Linked DNA regions of Macaca fascicularis. The protein of the gene in region 1 binds, or shares a complex with, the protein of each later gene. Links are inferred from orthologs where the notes say so. Each region holds a gene or a part of one and is shown on either strand. Other genes may lie near its edges.

The links. Proteins that work in one complex are often made in the same cells at the same time.
Region 2: RIPK3 (region 1) and AIM2 share a complex: the UniProt entries of both Homo sapiens proteins name them as parts of the AIM2 PANoptosome complex. The link is inferred for Macaca fascicularis from reciprocal best matches to the Homo sapiens genes RIPK3 and AIM2.

The regions. Positions count from the first base shown.
Region 1 is NC_088381.1:92,152,706-92,160,812, reverse strand, and holds the start of RIPK3 (receptor-interacting serine/threonine-protein kinase 3), read left to right. Parts: upstream 1-4,320; 5' UTR 4,321-4,485; coding exon 4,486-4,505; intron 4,506-4,714; coding exon 4,715-4,855; intron 4,856-4,989; coding exon 4,990-5,299; intron 5,300-5,751; coding exon 5,752-5,897; intron 5,898-6,023; coding exon 6,024-6,070; exon of another isoform or gene 6,071-6,108; intron 6,109-6,277; coding exon 6,278-6,445; intron 6,446-6,555; coding exon 6,556-6,623; intron 6,624-6,838; coding exon 6,839-7,213; intron 7,214-7,353; coding exon 7,354-7,414; intron 7,415-7,928; coding exon 7,929-8,107. UniProt on the Homo sapiens protein: Serine/threonine-protein kinase that activates necroptosis and apoptosis, two parallel forms of cell death. Necroptosis, a programmed cell death process in response to death-inducing TNF-alpha family members, is triggered by RIPK3 following activation by ZBP1.
Region 2 is NC_088375.1:102,010,244-102,018,250, forward strand, and holds part of AIM2 (interferon-inducible protein AIM2), read left to right. Parts: intron 1-591; exon of another isoform or gene 592-725; intron 726-3,760; exon of another isoform or gene 3,761-3,762; 5' UTR 3,763-3,782; coding exon 3,783-4,044; exon of another isoform or gene 4,045-7,988; intron 7,989-8,007. UniProt on the Homo sapiens protein: Sensor component of the AIM2 inflammasome, which mediates inflammasome activation in response to the presence of double-stranded DNA (dsDNA) in the cytosol, leading to subsequent pyroptosis.

The DNA of each region.
Region 1 (8,107 bases):
ATTTAGGTTGTTTTCACCTTTTGGCTGTTGCAAATAATGCTGCTATGAACATTGGTGTACAGTTATCTATTTGAATCCATATTTCCTTTTTTTTTTTTTTTGAGACAGAGTCTTGCTCTGTCCCCCAGGCTGCAGTACAGTGATGTGATCTTCGCTCACTGCAACCTCTGACTCCTGAGTTCAAGCGATTCTCCTGCCTCAGCCTCCTGAGTAGGGGGGATTACAAGCACGTGCCACCATGCCCGGCTGATTTTTGTATTTTTAGTAGAGATGGGATTTCACCATGTTGTCCAGGCTGGTCTCAAACTCCTGACCTCAAGTCATCCGCCGCTCTCGGACTTCCAAAGTGCTGGGATTACAGGCATGAGCCACTGGGGCCGGCCTCAATTATTTTAGGATATACTCAGGAGTGGAATTACTGGTAGCAGATCTTTTTTAAAAAATTAGTCCCGGCCAGGCGCGGTGGCTCACGCCTGTAATACCAGCGCTTTGGGAGGCCAAGGTGGGCGGATCGCCTGAGGTCGGGAATTTGAGACCAGCTTGATCAGCATGGAGAAACCCTGTCTCTACTAAAAATACAAAATTTGCTGAGCCTGGTGGCACATGCTTGTAATCCCAGCTACTAGGGAGGCTGAGGCAGGAGAATAGCTTAAACCTGGGAGGCAGAGGTTGCAGAGAGCCGAGATTGTGTCATTGCACTCCAGCCTGAGCAACAAGAGGCAAATTCCGTCTCAAAAAAAAAAAAAACAAAAACAAAAACAAAAAACAAAAACAACAACGACAAAAAAAATTAGTCCCAGCATTTTGGGAGGCCAAGGTGGGCGGTTCACCTGAGGTCACGAGTTCGAGACCAGCCTGGCCAACGTGGTGAAACCCCGTCTCTACTAAAAATACAAAAAAATTAGCTGGATGTGATGGCAGGCGCCTGTCATCTCAGCTACTCGGGAGGCTGAGACAGGAGATTGGCTTGAACCCGGGAGGCAGAGGTTGCAGAGAGCCGAGACTGCGCCGTTGCACTCCAGCCTGGGCAACAAGAGCGAAACTCCATCTCAAAAAAAAAAAAGAAAAGAAAAGAAAAGAAAAATTAGTGAGCCACTGTCTCTCATTTCTAAGGGTCTGACATGATGTTAATTAGTTTCATGGTTAAACTTACTGGGAAATTGCTGTTTCTTCCTGTGTCTCATGCGTTCATTCTGGGATAATTTTTTTTTTAATCTTCTTTGTGCACATCCATTAGAAACTTCTTTAGGAAAGTGACTGTTCGTAGTAAACTCAGTTTTCATTTATTTGAAAATGTCTTTTTTTCTTTTTTTACCTGTCTGTAAATATAAAATTGTATACACACCAAAGTTATCTTTTTCAGGAACACTTTTCCTGTCTTTGAGCACCTTAAATTATTTCAACGTCTTCTGGTTTTTACTTGGCTGTTGAGAAGTGTATTTCCAGTTTAGTTACTGCTGCTTTGTAGATGATCTATGCTTTCTTTTTAACCTTTAATGTTGTTTATTTGTGTTCACTGTTCTGCAGTTTCACTGAGGTATAACTAGAGTGAATTTCTTTATATTTATCCTTTTTGGCACAACTATATTTGTGTATATTTGACTTTTTATATTTGCTCATTTATTTATTTAGAAACAGGGTCTTGCTCTGTTGCCCAGACTGGAGTGCAATGGTGCAATCATAACTTACCATAACCTCCAACTCCTGAGCTCAAGCTCTAACCCTAACCCTAACCCTAACCCTAACCCTAACCCTAACCCTAACCCAGCTCAGCCTCCCAAGTAGCTAAGATTACCAGAACTGGCAACCTTTTATTTTAATTTTTATGTTGTAGAGATGGGGTCTCACTATGTTGCTCAAGCTGGTCTTGAACTCCTGTCCTCCAGTTATCCTCCCACCGTGGCCTCCCAAAGCACTGGAATTACAGGTGTCAGCCACTGTGCCCAGATGGATCCTTGTCTTTCATCAGTTATTGAAAATTGTCAGTCATTTTTTCCTTAAATATTGCCTTGCCCCATTTTTAATTTTTCGCTTCTCTTCTCATGGGATTCCAATTTAACATGTTAGACCTACTCATTCTTTGTCTCTTAACTTTTCTATTTGCTCATCTTTGCTGCATTCTGGAGAATGTCTGCAGATTCATCTTTCAGTACACTAATTCGTTCTTCAGCTATATCTTCTGTTTAACCAAAATCTACAATTTCAATTTTAATGGTTACATACATTTTTCATTTCTTGATGTTTTATTTTTTGTAAATATATCTGGACATTGTTTATGATCTCTAATGCCTTGCTCTTTTATTTCTCTACTCTATTTTTTATTTCTTTAAACATTTTACAATAGCTTCTTTAGTTTCTTTATCTGATTATTCCAAACTCTGAGTTTCCAAATTCCAAGAATCAACCTGTGCCTAGGTCCACCCCCACACCCCCTTGCTGGAAGCTGAGGGTCCTGTTAGGCACTTACTCTAAGGTTCTTCTCCCTGCTCTTCCTTCTTTTAAAGGGGCTGTTTATTTTGAGTCAAAAAGTTGTATAGGCCCTGATACCACACCCAACTTTGTGCTTCACAGTAGTTTATCCCTGATTCTCAGGGTCTCATACCAATCTGAAGAAACCCGGTTATAACACCTTTCCAACTCCTTTTTGCCTGCTTCCTTCAAGTGGAGATACTGAGCCTGGGTTATTCTCTCCAAAAAGAATCACAAAGGGAGTGGCTACCCCTTTTGATGGTTCTCAGCTTCTGACTCTAGGCTTTTCTGAGGACCTGCTACACTTCTTGCCTTCTTGGATTCTGTGTGATACCACCATATCTCTATACTAAAGCCTACTTCAGACGGATTTCATGAACTGTGCAGGTGAGAGCCCTCAGTCCCTATAGGAACCCGATCTCCTCTTTCCTCCTACTGAGTATGGAGCTCCATCTAGGATGATCAGTGCCTTAAAAGAGGCTTAATATTTTTGGTTGTTCATTTATTCATTCAATTCAACAAATATTTATTGGGTATCTGCCATGTATTGGCTTTTAAAGAGACTACAGTTGAACAATTCCCTAAATAGCTCCAAAATAGCATGAGCTGACCCTACCAGAAGCCATGGTGTAGCTCTCCAGGAGTTGTTCTAGAAAAAACTGCTGATCACTTCTGCCTCAACCAGAAGAGCCCATGGACCGCTGAACAAAATGGAAAGCAAGTACCAAGGTGAGCCCCTTTTAGTGAAAGCCAACACACAACCCACAGGGTTGAGTATCCCTGTGAAGGACTGAGTGCCTAGGGCTGGCCCTATCGGGTTCCCACAACCTCCAGTCATGGTCAGACCTCCAAAAGGTAAAATATGGACACCTTTTTTCTGCCCTAAATCTTTAAGACTCTCCATGCTTCTGGGTTATCAAAAGCCTGTGTCCAGAGCATGTGCTTGTCAGGAACATTAATTAGGGTATTTGCATGCAAGAATTGTCATGCAAGAGAGAGGGCAGGAAAGCTCTGAATTGTTTCCACTGCAGTGTACACCACAATGTCACCAACTCGCTGGATGGGCTGGTATATCTAGCCTTACCACAATGCCCTTGGAGTGGGTTTGGGGTCTGCCAGCTCAAGGAGCTCCTGTTCATAGGGCATATAAGTCCCTATGAACATATAAGTCCCAAGGAATACAAATAGGGATCCTTCACTACATCGTTGGATGCTTCACAACTTTCCCAGCCTCCTGCAGGACCAGCTGAGTGGTCCTGCAACCTATGTGAAAACAGGTGAAACCTATGTGAAAACAGCCCTGAAACCTATGATGTGAAAACAGGATAACTTGATGGTTCAGAGCCATTATTTCCATATGGGCTTAGGCAAGGTACTTAAACTCTCAGTGTCTCAGTTTCCTCATCTATAGAAAGGTAATAAAAGCAGTACCTATCCCCTTAGGGTTCGTGTGAGAATTAAATAAGCTAATCTATGTACCTGGTGCATGATAAGTTTTATATATGCATTGGCTATGATCTTAGGGCAGCTATGAGAGAGCTGAGCCCTAAAACCATAAAACCTGCCTAAGCACCATCTCCACTCATGGCCTGGCAGGTGGTGGAGCAGGAAATCCTGTGGGAAAAGAGAAGGCTTTGACTGTAGGAGTGGGTTGATTGTGGGTTCCTGGAAGGTGAGGACCCATTCCCTAACATCCTCAATGCCCAGCCACACCTAACCTGGCCGCTGCATGCGGCAGGCACTCAGGAAACGCTAGTCAGGGAGAAAGACACTAGCTTTCGCTTTGCCCCCTGCCCCACCCCAGGGGCGGGACTGTAGAGGCGCCTGTAAGGGAAGTTGTTCAGTCAACTCAGAATACGGGTAGCAACCCGGAAAGTGGAGTCACCGTCCTGGTCTAGAGACTGATCCCTGCAGAGACAGATCCCTTCCCCTCTCTGCCAAAGACCGCAGCCCCAGAAGTCATTCCATCTCCTACTGCTCGCAATTTCCAGAGGCCCCCTCGCACCTTCCAGCCTGATGTCGTGCGTCAAGTTATGGTGAGTAGGGAGAGGCATGTCGATCGCAGCCTCCGACATTCACACCCAGAGCGCCCCACGGACTCGCTCAGAGAACGCCTTTGAGTCTGGAGACGGTGGGGGCCGGCGAGAGAGGCCGGGGATTGCAGTAAGAGCGCCGAGTCACAGGGGCGCGGGGAGCAGCGCTGGCGTAGGGCACTGCCGGCTAGTGGGCGACACCCCTGTCTCAGGCCCAGTGGTGCCTCCGCCTCCTTGGTGTCCATCGAGGAACTGGAAAACCAGGAGTTCGTCGGCAGAGGCGGGTTCGGCACAGTGTTCCGGGCGCGATATAGGAAGTGGGGCTACGACGTGGCGGTCAAGATTGTAAACTCGTGAGTGACCCCTGTTGCCCCCCCGGCCGCAATCTGGCCAAAAAGGTGGAGCCACTGTGCTCTGGGGCCTGAATGGGGAATGGAGGGATTTTTCCCACGACCCCGGGTGACTCCAGCTCTCTCCTGGAGTGTAGGAAGGCGATATCCAGGGAGGTCAAGGCCATGGCAAGTCTGGATAACGAATTCGTGCTGCGCCTAGAAGGGGTCATCGAGAAGGTGAACTGGGACCACGTGCCCAAGCCGGCTCTGGTGACTAAATTCATGGAGAACGGCTCCCTGTCCCGGCTGCTGCAGCCCGAGTGCCCTAGGCCCTGGCCGCTGCTTTGCCGCCTGCTGAAAGAAGTGGTGCTTGGGATGTTTTACCTGCACAACCAGAACCCGGTGCTCCTGCACCGGGACCTCAAGCCATCCAATGTCCTGCTGGACCCAGAGCTGCACGTCAAGGTCAGCTGCTCTACACCCCTCTCAGCCTCAGGACAAGGTCCCACCCCAGAGCAGCTCCAGCCAGGCCCACTGGACACCAGACCTCCAGAGCCCTGTCTATTGAATAGGCGTAGCCTCTCCCTCTGGACACAGGGCTGCCAGGGCACAAAGCCCAGCCAGGAGTTTTAGCTCCTGCCATACCAGGTGATAGAGGCCCCGACCCACACGAGTCCTTTCCACCAGCTGCCCCACCAACCCCTCCAAAGAGTCATGGCTGACCCAGCCCTGGAGACTCACACCTTGACCCAGCCCTACCACAGGCACCTAGATCTACTATCCAAGGGAGCCTCTTCCCTTGACCTCCACACTCCCTTTACAAAGCTGAACCTGAACCTTCTGGGGGCAAGGGGGTTTCTGGAGGCTGCCTGGCCCCCTTGTCTTCCCTACCTCCCACTTCTTTCCTTCCTTTGCAGCTGGCAGATTTTGGCCTGTCCACATTTCAGGGAGGCTCACAGTCAGGGACAGCATCCAGGGAGCCAGGGGGCACCCTGGGCTACTTGGCCCCAGAACTGTTTGTTAATGTAAACCGGAAGGCCTCCACAGCCAGTGATGTCTACAGGTAAGGATCCCAGCCCAAACACACAGCCGGGATTCCTACACTTCTCTGGGCCCTCCCAGGGGGTGATGTATAGGAAAGGAGTCTTGCCAGTGATTGGACTGGTCCTCAGCTTTGTGTCTCCTGCAGCTTCGGGATCCTAATGTGGGCAGTGCTTGCTGGAAGAGAAGCTGAGTGTAAGACTCTAGGCGGATTCTGGGATCCTTAACCCCAGGTGCCCTTCTCTTGAAAGCCCCAAAGCTTCCCCTTCCTGCTCACCTACTAAGACTGCCCTCCTCCATCCTTGTGCTCCCACATTACACTCCCTGCCTCTTTCCATGATGGAGCAGATATTCCCTTTTACCCTGAATGCCTTCTCTTCTCACCCTCCTCCCCTACTCCAGTGCCAACAGAAGCATCACTGGTGTGTGGAGCAGTGTGCAGGAGGCAGACCCGGCCCTCATTGACTGAGCTGCCCCAAGCTGGGCCTGAGACTCCCGGCTTAGAAGGACTGAAGGAGCTAATGCAGCTCTGCTGGAGCAGTGAGCCCAAGGACAGACCCTCCTTCCAGGGTGAGCTGGCCAATTAGCTGGATCTGGGGTAAGCTTGGGTCTGTCAGCATGGGGCTTTCCTCAGGAAAAGAAGATTTGCTCACCTGCAACCCACTCTGCTGTCCCTCTAGAATGCCTACCAAAAACTGATGAAGCCTTCCAGATGGTGGAGAACAATATAAATGCTGCTGTCTCCACAGTGAGCGCCAACATCACCCCTCTCCAGGAGCTGGTCAGGGATGGCACAACATGGCTACCTGGCCATCCAATGACTCACCATTAACCACAGCTTTTTTATGCCTTGACCTTTGTCCTCACCCTCCCCAGCCCACCCCTGAGTTCCAAGAGACTACTCCCTTGGGTTTACTCTGGCTCATCCAAGTCATACCCAGCAAACTCCTCCCATCCCTGCAGGTAAAGAATTTCCTATCTGAGCTCAGGAGCAGCAATCCGAGATTTTCTACCCCCGAGTCAGGCCAAGGAGGGACAGAAATGGATGGCTTTAGGAGAACCACAGGAAACCAACACTCTCGTAATGATGTCATGGTTTCTGAGCTGCTAAACAAACTGAATCTAGAGGGGTCTCCCAGCTCTGTTCCTGAAAAATACCCGAGCCTTACCAAGAGGAGCAGGGCACAAGAGGAGCAGGTTCTGCAAGCCAGGACAGCAGGGACATCTTCAGATTCAGTGGCCCAACCTCCCCAGACTCCAGAGACCTCAACTTTCAGAAACCAGATGCCCAGCCCCACATCAACTGGAACACCAAGTCCTGGACCCCAGGGGAATCAGGTGAGACATTGGCAGGATTAGGGGATGCACTAAGAGTCCTATAAATGCTGTCCCCTTGCCAGGCAAAACTTGGGGCTGAGAGGAGTGCACTGGGCGGTCCAGGCTCCAGGACAGAACTGGATGCTCTGTGATGTTTGCAGGGCGCTGAGAGACATGGCATGAACTGGTCCTCCAGGACCCCGGAGCCAAATCCAGTAACAGGTACCCACTCTCCACCTCTTTCTTTTCCCTGTTCAATTCTTCCATGAGACTCCTCCTCCAGATCTATATCTAGATTCAGGGTACTTTCTGGAGGCGAGGGGAGAAGATCATCTAACTCAACCTCATTTCATAAATGGGAAAACTGACACCCCCTGAGAAAGGAGCCCTCTGAGGTCACACAACGAAGCTTGGATTTTTCCCTGAGTTTTCTAACTTTCCACAGCATCAGCTCTGTGAGCCCCCTAAGTTCCATTGTTTCAGCAGTCCAGAGGACTTCCCAGCAAAAAAGATCAGGGTCTCAAATGTCAATTGCTACTCTCTAGAGCTTCTGCTAAGCCAGTTCTGGAGAGGAACTCTGAAGGGAAGGGCACAGGACACACCTTAACACAGTCATTTGGGCGACCACTCCACTCAAGGCCAAGCTGGGGGTGGAGACCTCATACTCCCCACCCACCCCCAACTTGGCCTTTCTGACAGCTAAACCCTCCTGCCACCATCACTATTTCTCTTAAAGGGCGACCACTCATTAACTTACACAACTGTTCTGGGGTGCAAGTTGGAGACAACAACTATTTGACTATGCAACAGACAACTGCCTTGCCCACAGGGGGCCTGGCACCTTCGGGCACGGGGAGGGGCTGGCAGCACCCCCCACCAATAGGTTCGCAAGAAGGCCCTGAAGAACCTGAAAAC
Region 2 (8,007 bases), on another chromosome or scaffold:
TTAGTCAAGAAAAGGGTGGCACCCCGATTCTGGGAATTGCCCGCCCATTTCCCAGAAAAGCCTTCCTCTTTATCATAGAGTACCCCATACCTTCATTGTGCTTATTCATGTAGTACATGAACCACATTGCCTGTGACTCAATCTTTGAGTGCCTGCACTCGTCCCTTGAGGGTATCCTTGCTTTTGCTCCACAATAGAATGTCTGTACTTTCACTTTGGTCTCATTTCCAGATTCTCTTATGCTTTGAAGACAAGAAGCTGCACTGGCATACTGGCAATGCTTGTAGATACCCTCTGAGATCAGTGTGCTTGTTTATACCAGAAAAAATGTCATCACCAGGCCCCTTAGTCACAAAGCGTATCACTAAGTCATCTTCGGTCATTTTTTACAGTTTCCTAGCCACTTTCTGTTTCCAATCAGTGTAACTATGTGGCATGACTCAGATACAAGTTTCTATAGAAATTTTCTTCTGTGGCTGCTAGTGAGAACCCAAACCAGCTCAGCCAATGAGAGCTCCAGTTGTCACTCCTACCCACACTGGGCCTGCGGGTGACGGGAAGTGTTTATTAGGGGTACGTGTGAAGCTGTTCAGAAGTGTCAGAGTCTTTGTAGCTTTGAAAGTCACGTAGGTTATTTGGGCATGCTCTCCTGAGCCCTCTGTTAGTTAAGCTCTCTGAAGAGAAGGTGGCAGACCCGGTTTGCTGATCGCCCCAGGGATCAGGAGGTAAGCACCATGGAGGAGCTGGGTTAGAGAGGAGAGACTGAACCGTTTCTCCGCCGAAAAAGACAACTGAGGAAATGCCAGCCATGCTATGCACCCCTCTGAGAACTTGAACCTGGGAAAATGGACATGAGCTCTGAAAGGATGGGTTCATTTATCTTTTACTCACTTTAGCCATGTCCTCTGGTGTCTCTGAGCTGGTGTTCCTTAAGCTTCAGATTCCATTGGGGTTTATCTATCAGCCTGTTTGTAAGACTAACTTTTATGCCAATAGCAAATACAAGCATTTTTTAAGTTAACAGATATTATGAAGTAAAATGCAAGTTTTTCATTTATAAGACAACATAACTTCAGAGAAAATGATGAGTCAATCTTATTAAAATGTGATTAAAATGTGATTGTTATTATATAAGAGGCTTATAGGAAGATTAGTTTCTTATAGACAAGTAGGAAAGCAGGAATCATGCCAAGCTGATTGTAGATATTCAGCAAAGGTAGTGTCCTTCCTTGCTTTCATCAGTAGGACGGGGGCATTTGGATGGCTTTATCATTACAAATATTTTTAATGTTATTTCTTATTTTGAAAATGGTCCTGATAATAGTTTTAATTTTCACTCATGAACTCTACATGTATAAGTAGAGTTTGTCCAGCCCTTACCAGCATATAAGGAAAAACATTATGAGGCCATTAACAGTGATAGTTTAGAATTTATTAACATTGACTCTACTGATGGTGGTATTCAAGCTTCCCTAAAATTCACAATCAGTTATTTTCAGCTCATAGACATCTTTTCCTGTTCTTCGGCTTATTTCTTCCACTTTATATGTTGCTGCTCTGGAAGTCATTAATTGCTAATAATGTCAAACATCTTTTTTATGTTTATTGGATACTTGAGCAAATTGCTCATTCACATCTTTTGCACACTTTTCAAATAGACTGTTTATTGTTTTCTTAGTGATACATGGTTCTCCATGTATTCCAAAAGCAAAACTTCTATTAGCTATATATATATATATGTATATTTCAGGTATCTGCCCAGTTTTTGCCTTATATAAACACTTTGTTTAGTGTGTGTGTGTGTGCACGTGTGTGTGTGTTTCCTACAAAGAAATTAAGAATATGCATGCAATCACATTTGACAAAGTTTGTTTTTTTTTCTGGCTTGTCCTTTTTGTGCCTTGTTTAAGAAACCTCCTTCTACTTCAATGTATTGAGAAATTCTGTGTTTTATTCAACATCATTACTCTTCTGTTTAGATAATTAATCCAGCCAGATATATATTTGTGTATGATATAAGAGAAAGGCCAAATATATCATTCCCCGAATATTATCTTTTGCCTGAATACTTTTTATAGTTGGCCATTCTTTCCTTGTGATTTTTAACGCCAGTTTGATTATGTACCATGCTTTAACTTACATGTGGTCCTGTTTCCACACTCTATTTATTAGTTCATTTTTCTCTATGCCACTGCCATATCGATTTAATTATTATACATTTGTAGTAAGTATTGATACCTAGTAGTAGGGATACTACATCCTAATAAACAATTCAACATGTTTTGCAGGTTTTTGTCTTTATTTTTTTCATTTAGGTTTTAAGATCATTCTGATAAGTTCTATGAAAAACCCTTTGAGATTTTGGATGGGAGTTTATAGATTAATTTGACAACATTGCTGTCTTCATTTTATCAAGTTTTCCCATTTAAAATATCACACATACACCCACTTAAGTAGGTCTTTTAAATCTCCCAATGAAGTTTTATAAGGTTCCCTTTAAAACTCTTAAATATATTGTATTAGATGTTCTTATGTACTTTGTAGTTTTGTTGCTATTGGAAATTACTTTTTTACGTGATTTTTTTCACTCTTGGAGTGGTGCTAGAATAAAGGAATGCATTTCTGCATATTAATCTTATAGTTATAAACTTTTGAATGATTATTTATAATGTTTTGTGTATTATTTTGGATACTATACATAAACAACTATATTACTACAATGTGATTTTGGCAACAAGATACAAAAATAGGTTGATGGACAGAATAAAGAATCCAGAAATAGACTCACTCATATTTGGACAACTGATTTTTGCAAAGGTAAAAAAAATCGTTAAAAAGGATAGTCTTCTTAATATACGGTTCTGGGAAATTTCATATTCATATGAAAAATAAATGAACTTTGAGTCATTGCTTATACTATATACAAAATAACTCAAAACGGTACATACACCCAAATAAAATGATTAAACCATAATATTTTTAGAGGAAAACATAAAATCTTCTCATCTTGAGATTGGAAAAGATTTCTTAAATAAGACAGTGAAAGCATGATCCATGAAAGAACAAATTGATTAATTGCACTTCATCAGGTATATGTATATGCGAAAATTTATCAGATTGTATACTTCCAATATATGCACTGTGTTGTATGCCAGTTATGCCTCGATAAATCTATTTTAAAAATAAAAGGAAAATGTATCCTGTTTCCTTTTTGTTGTAGTGTTTTGTTTGTTTGTTTGTTTTGAGACAAAGTTTTGCTCTTGTCGCCCAAGCTGGAGTGCAATGGCGCGATCTTGGCTCACTGTGACCTCCGCCTCCTGGTTCAAGTGATTCTCCTGCCTCAGCCTCCTGAGTAGCTGGGATTACAGGCCCCCACCACCACGCCCAGCTAATTTTTGTATTTTTAGTAGAGGTGGGGTTTTGCCATATTGGCCAGGCTGGTCTCAAACTCCTGACCTCAGGTGATCCGCCCGCTTTGGCCTTCCAAAGTGCTGGGATTACAGGCGTGAGCTACCATGCCCAGCTGATGTATCCTGTTTTCTAAGAATTCCAGAGGTGTTGTATACTTTCTGAAGATGTCTTTCCCAGGAATAGGGATCACCTTGCTTAAGAAGTTCTTACCTATGTCCCATTCAAATCTCTTTTACTACTGCAAACATTTTGTTTATTTTTCTTTAAAAATATTAATAGCTCACCTTGCTTTATTTTGAATGTAGAATCCCTTTTGGTGTTGTAATCTTACATGCTTTGGATTCCTTATAGGTTGATCCCAAAGTCGTCAGATGGAGAGTAAATACAAGGAGATACTCTTGCTAACGGGCCTGGATAACATCACTGATGAGGAACTGGATAGGTTTAAGTTCTTTCTTTCAGACGAGTTTAATATCGCCACAGGCATACTACGTACCGCAAACAGAATACAAGTAGCTAACTTGATGATTCAAAATGCTGGTGCAGTGACTGCAGTGAAGAAGACCATTCTTATTTTTCAGAAGTTGAATTATATGCTTTTGGTAAAACGTCTTAAGGAAGAGAAGGAGAAAGGTAATGTGGTAGTCCCGCACCTGCCCAGTCCCTTTCTCTGCCAAGCCTGGGCCTTTCCTTTCATGGCGTCCCTGGGATATGACCCCCAGTGCACACTGTTGGAATTTGTTTGCTAACTTAGTGCACCTGTCTCTTTGCCCCCTTTTACTGAGAATCACTTGTAGGAAGTGTTTGTTACAAATTCCACAAATCCATTCCAGCCTTGGTTTGCATCTCTTGTTCCAGCCTTTAGGGTGACCACTTCCATTTATCATCTTTTCTCCTTGCCCATCTTTGTCTCCAGTTCAATTACAGTGAATATGGATGTAGAATTTCAAAGTTAACTTTTCCCAACTCCATTTCCACAGTATGTAATGCTCTCACATTCTACTGAAGTCTCAAAAATATAAATTATTGCATTGGAAAATTGTAAACCAGGATATTGAGCACCTTTTTTTCCTTCACACAGTCTGTTTATTTCTCTCCATGTCCCTATCTTTCTATGGTCCCAGACTATGCTGCTTTCTTTAGGGAATGATCTCCTCCTTCTTCAGGGAGGGAGAATCCTCCTTCAGGGATTCTCTCTCCTCTCTATCTCCAGTGACAGTATAAATTACCCACAGCAAAAAGACTTTTTTAACATCATTCAATAAATCACTCATCATCTCCATCTGAATTATATACATTTAGTTTAAATTCCTGATTTTGTTTACTAAGAACAATTGATACGTCCCGGCTTTATGTCTGAAGAACAAAAAAGAGCTAACAAAGGAGCATATCACTCCAGGACTGTCCCAAATGAGAGTCTCCAAATGCAACAGTTTTAGGATTCAAAGTAAAACCGTAACAGCAAAGATTACAACAGCTTTTAATAGCATTTGTGGGTGTACAACACGGTGACATGGCTTCTCACACATGGTTTATAAGAAGGTTAAATGAAGCCACATAAGTGATACTATGTAGGTCCATAATTCTATACAGATGTAAACTGTGAGGTAGTTTCTAAGGCACTAATGAGAAAGGAGTGGTTGTTTTCCCAGGCTTTAAGTTAGAAGGTGTAGTTCTTTAAGATGGCCCTTAGATGGCAGTAACTACCCATGTTACTTCCATGTAACCAGCTGCCCTGTGTTTCTTATCTGGGATGAGACAGGAATCTATTGGCAAACATAGGCTGAGATATTTAGAAATATCTTCTATTTTGGCAATAAATCAAGAATTAATTCTTCTCTTTGACCAGGATAGCACAAAATTTCCCCTTCTACAATCTTCTCCCCATTTTGCTGTTCTAATGATTCTGGGATTTTGTTATTCTACTTAGCTAAAAAAGATCCAGTTTGGGACTAACTTGGAGACTCAGGAGTAGATCATCCAGAGGCTGTCCCAAATGAGAGTCTCCAAATGTAACAGTTGTAGAATTCAAAGTATGCTTTTGGGCCAGGTGCAGTGGCTCACACCTTTAATCCCAGCACTTTGGGAGGCCAAGGCAGGTGGATCACTTGAGGTCAAGAGTTCGAGATCCGCCTGGTCAACATGGTGAAACTTTGTCTCTACTACAAATACAAAAATTAGCCAGGCATGGTGGCAGGCGTCTGTAATGCCAGCTACTCAGGAGGCTGAGGCACGAGAATCAACTTGAACCCGGGAGGCAGAGGTTGCAGTAAGCTGAGATCATGCCTCTGCACCCCTGCCTGGGCAACAATAGTGAGACCCTGTCTCAAACAACAACAACAACAACAACAACAACAACAACAAAACACAAAGTATGCTTCCTGCATGCTCTACAAGAAGGCAACTGAGTTCCTTCATCGCTCTCAAATTCCATCCGTGGACATACTTAGGCCTCTTTTGAATGTAGGAAATTTTTGTGTGTCCATGCTATTTCTATTATTGTATGAAAAGCTTTTGTTTCATTTTTTTTGAACAGTTACTATCATTCTTGTTTAAGTGATCCTTCTCTGTTGCCATGGCATGTCTGCATGTAGAGTGCTATATGCTCTTCTACTCACAACCTCACCCCATGGAAGGTAGAAGATACCTGGAGAATCTTTAATGAAGACAGAGGCAATAATTAGTAGAGAGGAGAAGCTTTTGTATGAAGCAAGATGAGAAAATACAAGGACTCATAAGCATAGAAAAAGGAAGCGAAGAGAAAATGTGATCACAGTCTACAGAAGTCCTGCAAGATTAAAATAAAATGCTGAAAATGATAAATGAGATAATCAGTAACAATGTCCACCTGATTATTAAGGCAAATGAGAGATTTATAGTGGGCAGACAAGCTTGTCCACAAATATTGGTACCACGGTGTGTGAGATGAAGTATGGCTGATGTGATGTGGTAGAACGGTAGGTTGATTCCCTTGGCCTCCTTGATGCTGTTTTCTCGCCGATGCTGTGAACATAGAAGAGACTTTATCTGCATACCTTTCTGAAACCAGTTGCATGGAACTAACTTATCATTAGAAGGTTAGTGTAACTTCTTTCTAGAGCAGAGATCCTGCTACAATATCCCTGTCAGACAGTCAACCACTTTCTGATCTTTGAAAGGTAATGACAGAGTACCTACTGCCTCATAAAACAGTATCGTTTCTGTTTTTAGTAAAATCAAAGTGATTGCCTTGCTATTTCAGCCCAGAGTTGTTCAAATTCTATCAGAAATGACATCTAATAATTTCTCAGGCCCTCTTCTGCCTGAGAGTGCCTTAAGTCATTAAACACGACCATCTTGTTACATGGTCTTTTTAAAAATCAGGACTAGGAGTTGGCTTTTCACAATAACATATAACCTGACCATAGATGTGGAGGAGCCCAGCCAAAGTATACAACTGCATTTTGTAGGCATTAGTGAGGAGCCAACATGCCACCCATCCATCCATTTCTTCATCCATTCAGTAAATATCTATTGAATTGCTAATAGGTACAAGGAAAGCTTTTAGGTTCTTATGATAAAACAAGGTGTTAAAAACAAATCCAAATTTTATACAGCTTCTATTCTAAAGGGAAAGTAGATATTTTTCTTACAGGAAAATTTATGAATGTAATTAATTGAGACAAATGCTCTAATGGAAAGGAAGATGGTTCTTCAGCAGCATGTGTCAAAGGAGCATTAACATAAGCCACGAATTAGAGTTGGTGTTGGTCAAAGTGGGTTCCATAGGGAAGTGACCCTTGCACTAAGCTCTGAAAAATGCATAGGAGTTAAAGGTACCTTCAGTCAGAGGGAACACTGTGAAAATCCCTATGACAGCAGGTGTTGACCTGCTTGAGGACTGAAAGAAGGCCAGTGTAGCTGGAGTACAGAGAGTCTTCAGAGGGCAGGATGGGGTCCCCTCGATAGAAGGACAAGGCAAGGCCTTGTAGAACATAATTAGAAATCTGTGGCCAGGTGCGGTGGCTCATGCCTGTAATCCCAGCACTTTGGGAGGCTGAGGTAGGCGGATCACAAGGTGAGGAGTTTAAGACCAGCCTGACCCACATGGTGAAACCCCGTCTTTACTAAAAAAATACAAAAATTAGTCAGGCATGGTGGCATGAACCTGTAATCCCAGCTACTCAGGAGGCTGAGGCAGGAGAATCACTTGAACCTGGGAGGTGGAGGTTGCAGTGAGACGAGATTGGGCCACTGCACTCCAGCTTGGGTGACGGAGTGAGACTCTGCCTCAAAAAAAAAAAAAAGAAAAGAAAAGAAATCAGCCCTTGTTTCATAGCAGTAGTTTATTCATTTTCACTACTACATAAGATTCCATTTAATTGATAATTACATACACATATAAACTCATATACATATACATATATAGAGAGAGAATTGGTCTATTTTTTATTGTTATTTTAGTCATTTGAGGCCATTGTGAAAAATGCTGCTATGAATATTTATTATAAGCCTTATGTACTTATCTTTGTATGTTTGTATTTGTATGTGTGTTTCTCTTGACTGTACACCTGTGAATGGAATTACTGGATGTTAAGGTAAGTAGATATTGAATTT